Oryzias latipes: one gene and its partner. Each later gene encodes a partner of the first gene's protein in a complex. Links are inferred from orthologs where the notes say so. Each region holds a gene or a part of one and is shown on either strand. Other genes may lie near its edges.

Region 1 (4,022 bases):
TTAATTTTTATTTTACTTATTTACATAAGTAAGTTTGTTCTCTTGGTCACCAGTAACTGCTAAAAAAAAAAAAAATTCTGCTCCTGAAGAAGGCTGTTACCTCCTAAAATTGGTAACAGGGTTACACAGAGTAAAATATTGTACAACTGATCTGTGAGCTGAGCTAATCAAGCCTTTGATAGTTTATTACCTGTTATGGATGAATATCTAGCAGACAATCAGAAAAGTTAATATTTGCTTTTCATGAATTTTGAAACCCAAATGTCACAACTGTTGTGTTCTGATGACATAGTGACAACAAATACATATGGAGCTGAAAACCTGTATGTGTGCTTCAAAGTCACACACAAAAACCCTCTCAAAGCTCTGAAAAGCATGTTCCCTCTTTTGCTAAATTTGAGAACAAAAAGCATCCATTACATGGCTTGAACTGTTTTTCTGTGTTGCTTTCAACATCATGCCACCGTGCAGAACTCAGTTCAATCCAAAAAAATGCTATATTACTGTTTGGTTTAAGAATATATCCATCCCAACATGTTCAGAACCTGTCGATTCTCTTCTGAGGTCACAGGGCAGCAGGAGCCAACCCAGCTACTGTTGGGTGAAGGTGGGATACACCCTGGACAGGTCACCAGCCTGTTGCAGGACCAAACACACACTGCACCTTCATTTTTTGTTTTTGTTTTTTGAAGGTGGGAGGAGAAAACACACATGCACAGGTGAGATTTGAACCAGGATCCTTTTTGCTGTGAAGCTAGAGTGCTCACCACTGTACCACCATGCGCAGTAGAGGGGCAGGAGTTGCAAAAGGGAACAGTAGTGGACCGCCATTAGAAAAGAAAAGATTAAAAACATGTATTTCAAACTGTTTTGTTTTTATTTATTAATAATATTAAAAGAGTAGTTATTTTAAGCTAAGGTGGTATAAATAATGCGTGTAAGAGTTTGTAGTAAGGATTTTTTTTAAATGAGCTTTAAACAATCCAAACTTTCTTGGCCCCTGTAGCTCCGCCCATGCCAAAAAATACACCGTTTAATGATGTTTCATAAATAATTCATCATTTAAAATACATAATAAATTATGATTTATGTTTTTTTATATCATCTTTTCACCATTTATTAATATGCGATTCCTCAGATCTTTTTCTAAATATAAAGCTGTGTAAATCTTTAGAGCTTGCCTTCCCCCACCCCTTGCTCTCCGTGCACGCGCGCGTGTTCTAGTGCGCGCTCTCCTTCCACTGTCGGACTCTCTTCTTGCGGACTCTGGCTGGAGGTGGAGGATAACAAAAATATTTTTTATGGTGCCGAAAGCTGCTCTTCCCTTTTCTTCGCGTCAACTTGAGACTGAGAGAAAACTCAGAAAGTGTTTTTTTTAATGTTATTTTATTTTTTTTGCGTGAAAAACAAAGTGGAGCTTCAGCCTGAGGAAAAGACAAGTCAGCTGCTGAACCCAGGTCAGTTCAAATGAAGACGTGTGTGATGTTACAGATTAAAGAGAACATAATGCTGCTTTATAACAGAAATCCAGAAAACCCGTTTTAAAATGAATCTGAAATGTTTTATAGGTCTCTAGAGCGCGCGTGCCTTCTTTATAATAAGACGTCAGGGTTCATCAGGAGGTCCTCCTGAGATGTTTGATGGAAAATCAGCTTTATATAATTATACATATTTCCCCCCTTTAACTCGCCTATAATCAGTTTTTAGCAAATGATGAAAAAATGAACTCCAAATAAGGATGAGCTTATTTAATCAGGGGTACCACAGATGATTTTTAAGTGGTAACTTTAAAAATGAGAAGGAATATAACAATAAAACAGCAGCAAAAATCTTGTTAGTTTGTTCTATCAAACTGATTTTGAATTTATAGGCTTTTTATCGCTAAATTGACAAACCAAGCAAACAAATAAAATACAAAATATAGTCGGGACTTTCTTTCTTTTTAATTGTTAAATCGTATATGAAAATATGTGAACATAAAAATTATTTTTTTTGTCTTTTGACAATAAGTGAGGAAAAAAAGTCAATACAAAGATAACTATAGCACCCTCTGCTGGTAACAGGCTGTAACTCCAGGGTGCATACGTGTGACAAAATTGTTTAGAACATTTCAAACTTTATCATTCTTATTTTTATTTCTATTATTATTATTATTATTATTATTATTATTATTATTATTATTATTATTAGTTTGAAGTAGCATAATTTCCATCAATCTTCAACTCCAAACCTGAGTTTGAGACATTTTAAAACTATTTTGAGAACTTAATAGTTTGTGGAGGTCAGATATGTCACATGATCAGATCTGGTCTAAACAGCTGGTGGTGTCAGTGCCTATACCTTACCTAAGGCACATCAGAGGATGATGAGGTTGGAGGAGATGGAAGATCTGACTGGATCTGCTCGGAATGACATCTGAGTGACATGTGAACGGATAGGTTTTTATATGAATCCCAGAAAACAAACAAACATCAACAACAACAAAAAATCCATGTATGTTAATGATTATTTCATAACGTAGAAGCCCACAGAACTATTTCTACAATCACAGAACTTGGTACACATTTTTCGGGTAAAAAGAAAAAAACAAAGACAAGACCTCGGACTTTTATCAAGGGCACAAAAGGGCCATGCCATTAACTTTGGCAAACTCTTTTTTTTTTTTTTACAAACTCACTTCCAGTAAAGGTCAAACTGTTTTTTCCCTGCAGACTCATATTTAGAAAAGACAAGAACATTGGTCAGAATATGAGCATTTTTATGCCAACAGGGATGTTTAAGGAACGGATGCACTATCGTTGACACAACGCCAGTGTGGTGTCCTGGCGTCAGTGGGTTTTTTGGATCTTAAAGAACAGAAAAAGACAAAAAGGATGCATTGTTTTCTATTTCCTCTTTGATAGGCTTGAAAATCTCTGCACCAAAATGTAAAGACAAGTTCTAAATGTTGTAAAAAATATATAGGGATTAAAAAAGTACAGAATGTATAAGGCATAAAGTTATTAAAAAGCATGAAAACTGTACGCATATGTTGCTCTTTTTACATTTTGAGTTTGCTATGATACTTGTGGTTCAGATTTTTGGTTATGAAGCTTAAAAATTCATCATTTGAGTGAACAATTTGACTTTGGACATAAATGTTGCGTCTTTCTTGAGGGAAGACTGAAGTTTGCAGAACTGATCAAGGCTCATCTGTTAACAAGGACATTTTTTTCTCTCCACAGAAGCATGTCCTCCTTTGGCAGCAGGACCCTCTCTGCTCTTCCTCAGGGTGACCCTCTGACATGAGCCACTGAAGTTTAAAGACACAGCTCCCTCTGCTGGACGTCATCTGCAGCTACAGACCATGGCTGAGTCCAGCTACTCCGATCTCATTGCCAAACACTACAACTTCACTGGCAAGTTTCGGAAGACGCAGCAGGACTCCGGTCTGAAGGCTGACTCTGTGATCTTCATCATCGTGTGCTGCTTCATCATCCTGGAGAACATCCTGGTTCTTGCCACCATTTGGAGGACCAAGAAGTTTCATAAGCCCATGTACTACTTCATTGGGAACCTGGCGCTGTCCGACCTGCTGGCCGGCGTTGTGTACACCGCCAATATCCTGCTGTCTGGAGCCAACACCTACAAGTTGACACCCACACAGTGGTTCCTGAGAGAGGGCAGCATGTTTGTGGCTCTGGCGGCATCTGTCTTCAGCCTGCTGGCCATCGCCATTGAGCGCCACCTCACCATGCTGAAAATGAAGCTGCACAACAACGGCAACACGTGCCGCGTCTTCCTCCTCATCAGCACGGTGTGGATGATTGCAGCGATGCTGGGCGGGCTGCCGCTGATGGGCTGGAACTGCATCCACAGGATGTCGGAGTGCTCCACCGTCCTGCCACTCTACCACAAGACCTACATCCTGTTCTGCACCACCGTCTTCAGCATCATCCTCATGGCCATCGTGGTGCTCTACGCCCGGATTTACACGCTGGTGCGCACTCGCAGCAGCAAGCTCGTCTTCCGCAAAGTAACCA
Region 2 (4,254 bases), on another chromosome or scaffold:
AGTGCTCTGAACCTTTTTTCTTCACTGATTTGTGAACCTCACTGGTGTCCACGGATTACATGAAATCTTTCCACCTTTATCCACCTTTGTCATGGTAGGGAGAGCACGGCAATATAAGGGTGGGGTCATCTGAGATAGCACAAAGGTTAACCAGTAAGGGCTCACATGAGGACAAAACCGCAAAGCAAAAAGGAAATGAGTCAATACAGTTAAAGCGAAATTGGAATTTTTGATAATTGCACCAGCACTTATCACTGCGCCGGCTTCTGTAAAACAACCTTTTGCTTCATCATCTGGGCAAAAACAAGTGGTAAGCGATTAACTTTCCCTCTGAATTGATGCTTTATTCAACCCATCGGGACGATCAGCATATATATATCGCCGAATCTTGACTGCAGCGGTGGTACTGCGCGACGCGGACTATATGTTATATATATGTACTATATGTTACGTGATGCGGCGCGATGCGCCGCATCACGTAACATATAGTACGCTGTTTATGAGAAAAGTGATCCAAATCGGAAAAAAACAAGAATAAAGTACTAAAACTGATTGAAAAATATTTTTTTTTGTAAATGACCATGGTATAAGCGGGTTAATGGCCTTCGAAGTGTGCGGTTACTACTTTTTAACGCACCTCCGCTTCGCGTCGGACGGTTCAGGCTTCCACGGCATGCGTTAAAAAGTAGTAACCGCACACTTCGTCGGCCATTAACTCTTACGTAATACATTTTCAAAATAGCCTGATTTGTTTGCAGGATTCATTGTTGTTATTCTAATTTGGTGGGTTTAGCCCCATGTTTTTGAGATCGTACAGAAGCCTATAAGTAAAAAGCACAAAGTGCTTTAAAAATCCTAGAAGCAATAGACAATTATTTATTTTCTTATCCATTTTACATTTGATTGAGAAAAAGGTAGCAGGGCAGCAGGCTGATTTGCAGCCACGAGTTGTTCACTTCTCATAAATAATGATAATAAAATACAGGGTTGTGTCAGGAAAGGCATAAAGGTCTCTGCCAGATCACCTGTGCAAATTAGTGAAAGCTGATTCGCTGTGGTGACCTCTGAAAGATATGCCGAAAAGTGAACAACAACCAAAATGACAAAGGGGAATGTCTGGCCGAAATGTTGTGTTCTCACGCTTGATACTTACCAGGACCACGATCGGACCATTTTGAAGCAGCACGACTTTTACTTCAAACTAAAACAAGTTTTTAACTTTCAACTTTTAATGTTCAGCTAGCTTCCAGCATGGCTGAACTCCAATAATTCAGCTAAAACTTGACCTACCGTAATTGAACTTAAGCCACATGAAAGGCTCATTTCAAATACTTTTTTTTTTACCAGACTGAAACTAGTTGCAGACTTATAGGCAACATTTTCATGCATTTTATTTAAAAAAGAAATCCTATTTAAAAACGTCGTTTTGGTTTGTTTTCGCGCTAAATTAAATCATTTATGTTGGGGAAGTAGATGAAAGACAGCGACAGTCATTCGGCAAAAGATTTTTTGCACAGATATCAGATCAACTGAGTTTAAATAATCTACTGCCGTTTTTGCAAACATTTTTGGGCGGAGAGCACTAAGGCAAAAAAAAAAACAATTATGATTCATTTGGCAGGAACATCAGGACATGAAAGTGGCTAAAAATAAACTTTTTTAACTGAAACAAAATGGCAATACCCTACAAAGCCACATTCATCTTGCCACCGCAAAATGAGTCAAATGATAAAAATGTTTAGATCATTCTTATAGTCACATACATTAAAGGCTAAACATAATTAAAAAAAAAAATGTAAAAATCCTGAAATGTATGTAAAAGTCTTTGGCGCAGACAAAAAAAAACTCAACTCTAGGTTTTTCTATTTCTCTTATCCAAAGATTATTCATTACAAAAGATTCCAAAATCTTTTATAGATTTCTAAAACAAAATCACAATTAGATAACTTTGGTAATCTATTAATTATTTTAAGCATTTATTGTTATATCCAAAATTGGTTGTTGTTTTTTTAAACTGCAGGAAACTGAGAATTGTATTTCCTAGAATCACCAACTTTTAATAAACTAATCATTTGAATTAAGAAAAGACCAAAAATGCATGAGTACTCAGACTTTCATTTTAATTTCTGTTTCAAAATTCACAAAAGGGGGAAAGAACCTGCACGTTCTTCACTGAAGCTGTCACTCAGACTGGGAGACGTGTTGGTACAAGCTGTCAGGGTGTTTCAGTTGCGCATTGAGCAGAGGATGCATTTGTAATAAGACTCCCAATGAAACCTCTTATTATCAGACAAACATTAATAACTCAAGACATGATGCACTTTATATAAAAGTGTACCTTGAGGAGGCTTTGTCGCATGAAAAGCTTCAGAGTAGATCTCTTCACTTGGACTCAGCAGGGTAGAGTATTGTTCTTGATTTGCTTCATCTAAAGATTAAAATAGAGACAAACAAATTTTAGAAGCAACACCTGGCAGTCACTTCTAAAGTAACAACATATTTGTCAACCTATATATACACAGGCAAAAAAAGAAGATTAGTTTCTATACTGAAAAAAAATTAATTCAGATCAAAATCAAGAACATCAGGTCTTAAAAGAAGATTTTTCCCACCTTCAGTTTTGGCCTCCTGCTTCGGTTTCTCTGCTCTTTTTTCTTTGTCCTCTGTCTCAGCCTTTGCAGGGGCCTCTTGCATCTCCATTGCTTTGCACTTTTTGTTAACTTTCGATTTACCCGACAAGTCTCTGGTCAACTGACAATGAGTTGCAAAACCCTTTCTGTCCGCAGGCTGGACTTCAGATGACACCCAGTGTGGTCAAGTCAAACTTTTTGTTAAAAAGAGAAATAAAAGTGGGGAAAAAAAAGGTCCCCTTATTTAAGTGTCCAATCAAAAGTGAGTGATGGACAGAATTAAAAAAAAAAAAAAACTTCCTCACAGACATCTTTCGTGTCTTTGTCCTTCCCCTAAACCACATGTGAACCAAACAAATACTAACCTAACTGAGATGGTTTTAAAGGGAAACAGTTTATTCCGCTTAAAAAGAACCACACACGCTCAAACAAATACAGTTTATAAATACAGAATAGATCCTAAAAAATAATTTAACAAAATATAAAATATAAACGTGTACTTTTAACTCCTTTCTCTCTACTTCAGCATTTAAATACCAGTGTTTTCCAACTTCCCCACTGTATTTCCAGATTACTTCTAATGGTATTCAAAAGCAATCCCTTACAATGTTACTTTCTCAATGCAATGCATGACGTTTGAATTCCTGCAGGAGTTTCTTTGTTACACCTGCTGAAGTTTAATCAATAAATAAACAAAGACACAAAGTATTCTACTTTAAGATGAAGGCGAATATGTCGCAATTTATACATAGTATAAATTCAAAAATAACTATTGGAGGACCGACGCTCAGGTTGAGTGCAGCTGGTAGGTTTCATTGACTGATTATGAGAACTGGACCGAGTGAGTGTCACGTCACCCATAAAAAGTAGTTTACATCCAGCTCCAAACGAAGTGTTTTCAGACGCCAATTTAATGCAGTATGGATGTCACCATGTTGGGACCAGAAATCGTTAGGAAGCAGTGATTGGCCTGAATCGGTTTGAGTCAATAGATCTCGGCAATCAGGAGAGAGCTTGTTGGAAGACCACACCCCCTACCACTAAAAACCGAGCCCAGGAGAATCTGTCAGACGTTATGATTGTTCACATGCCTTCATTGAGGCATCTGATTGGCTAGTTTATAACTTGAATAACTTAAGGTAGCACAGCAACAATAGTTATTCTGATGAATATAGGCATTCTTTAGAATAACCATGATGTTGATTTTACGTATAGATTTTTGTCATTTGTTTCGGATGTGCAAGTTATTCAAGTTTTCAGAAGCCTCAACAAAAGTATGTACTCTCACGTCTAATGCAATGTTGGTTAAATTCTTCCTAGCCCACTGGAAGTGGTACAGGTGTGGCCCTCCAGCAAGCTCATTCCTGATTGGTAAGCCAGTCTTTGTCTCATTGGTTGCTATTCCAGTAACACATCAATATACATGAGTTAAAAAATTTTCAGCAAAGCTGGAAAAAAATTGACATTATTTTTATCAGGATGATTTAATTTCAAACAATGTGCACATTTTGTAATAAGTGCAATAAATATAAATAAAACATAGAAAGAATAAAGGGGGAACCCAATTCATATCTGATGTTTTTTTTTCCTTTTAATTATGGATAGCAAAAAGAAAAAAACAAAT

What was found. Proteins that work in one complex are often made in the same cells at the same time.
Region 2: the proteins of s1pr1 (region 1) and early activation antigen CD69 are in contact, whole or in part, in a cryo-EM structure (PDB 8G94), measured with the Homo sapiens proteins. The link is inferred for Oryzias latipes from reciprocal best matches to the Homo sapiens genes S1PR1 and CD69. Residues at the interface, in NP_001307659.1 of Homo sapiens: Asn157, Leu160, Phe161, Ile164, Ser165, Trp168, Val169, Leu172, Ile173, Gly176, Ile179, Met180, Gly181; in NP_001772.1 of Homo sapiens: Val41, Ala44, Val45, Val48, Val49, Thr52, Ile53, Ile56, Ile59, Ala60, Val63.

The regions. Positions count from the first base shown.
Region 1 is NC_019862.2:24,606,999-24,611,020, reverse strand, and holds the start of s1pr1 (sphingosine 1-phosphate receptor 1), read left to right. Parts: upstream 1-1,218; 5' UTR 1,219-1,457; intron 1,458-3,224; 5' UTR 3,225-3,346; coding exon 3,347-4,022.
Region 2 is NC_019874.2:20,028,522-20,032,775, forward strand, and holds the start of early activation antigen CD69, read right to left. Parts: upstream 2,810-4,254; 5' UTR 2,701-2,809; coding exon 2,613-2,700; intron 2,429-2,612; coding exon 2,339-2,428; intron 1-2,338. UniProt on the Homo sapiens protein: Transmembrane protein expressed mainly on T-cells resident in mucosa that plays an essential role in immune cell homeostasis.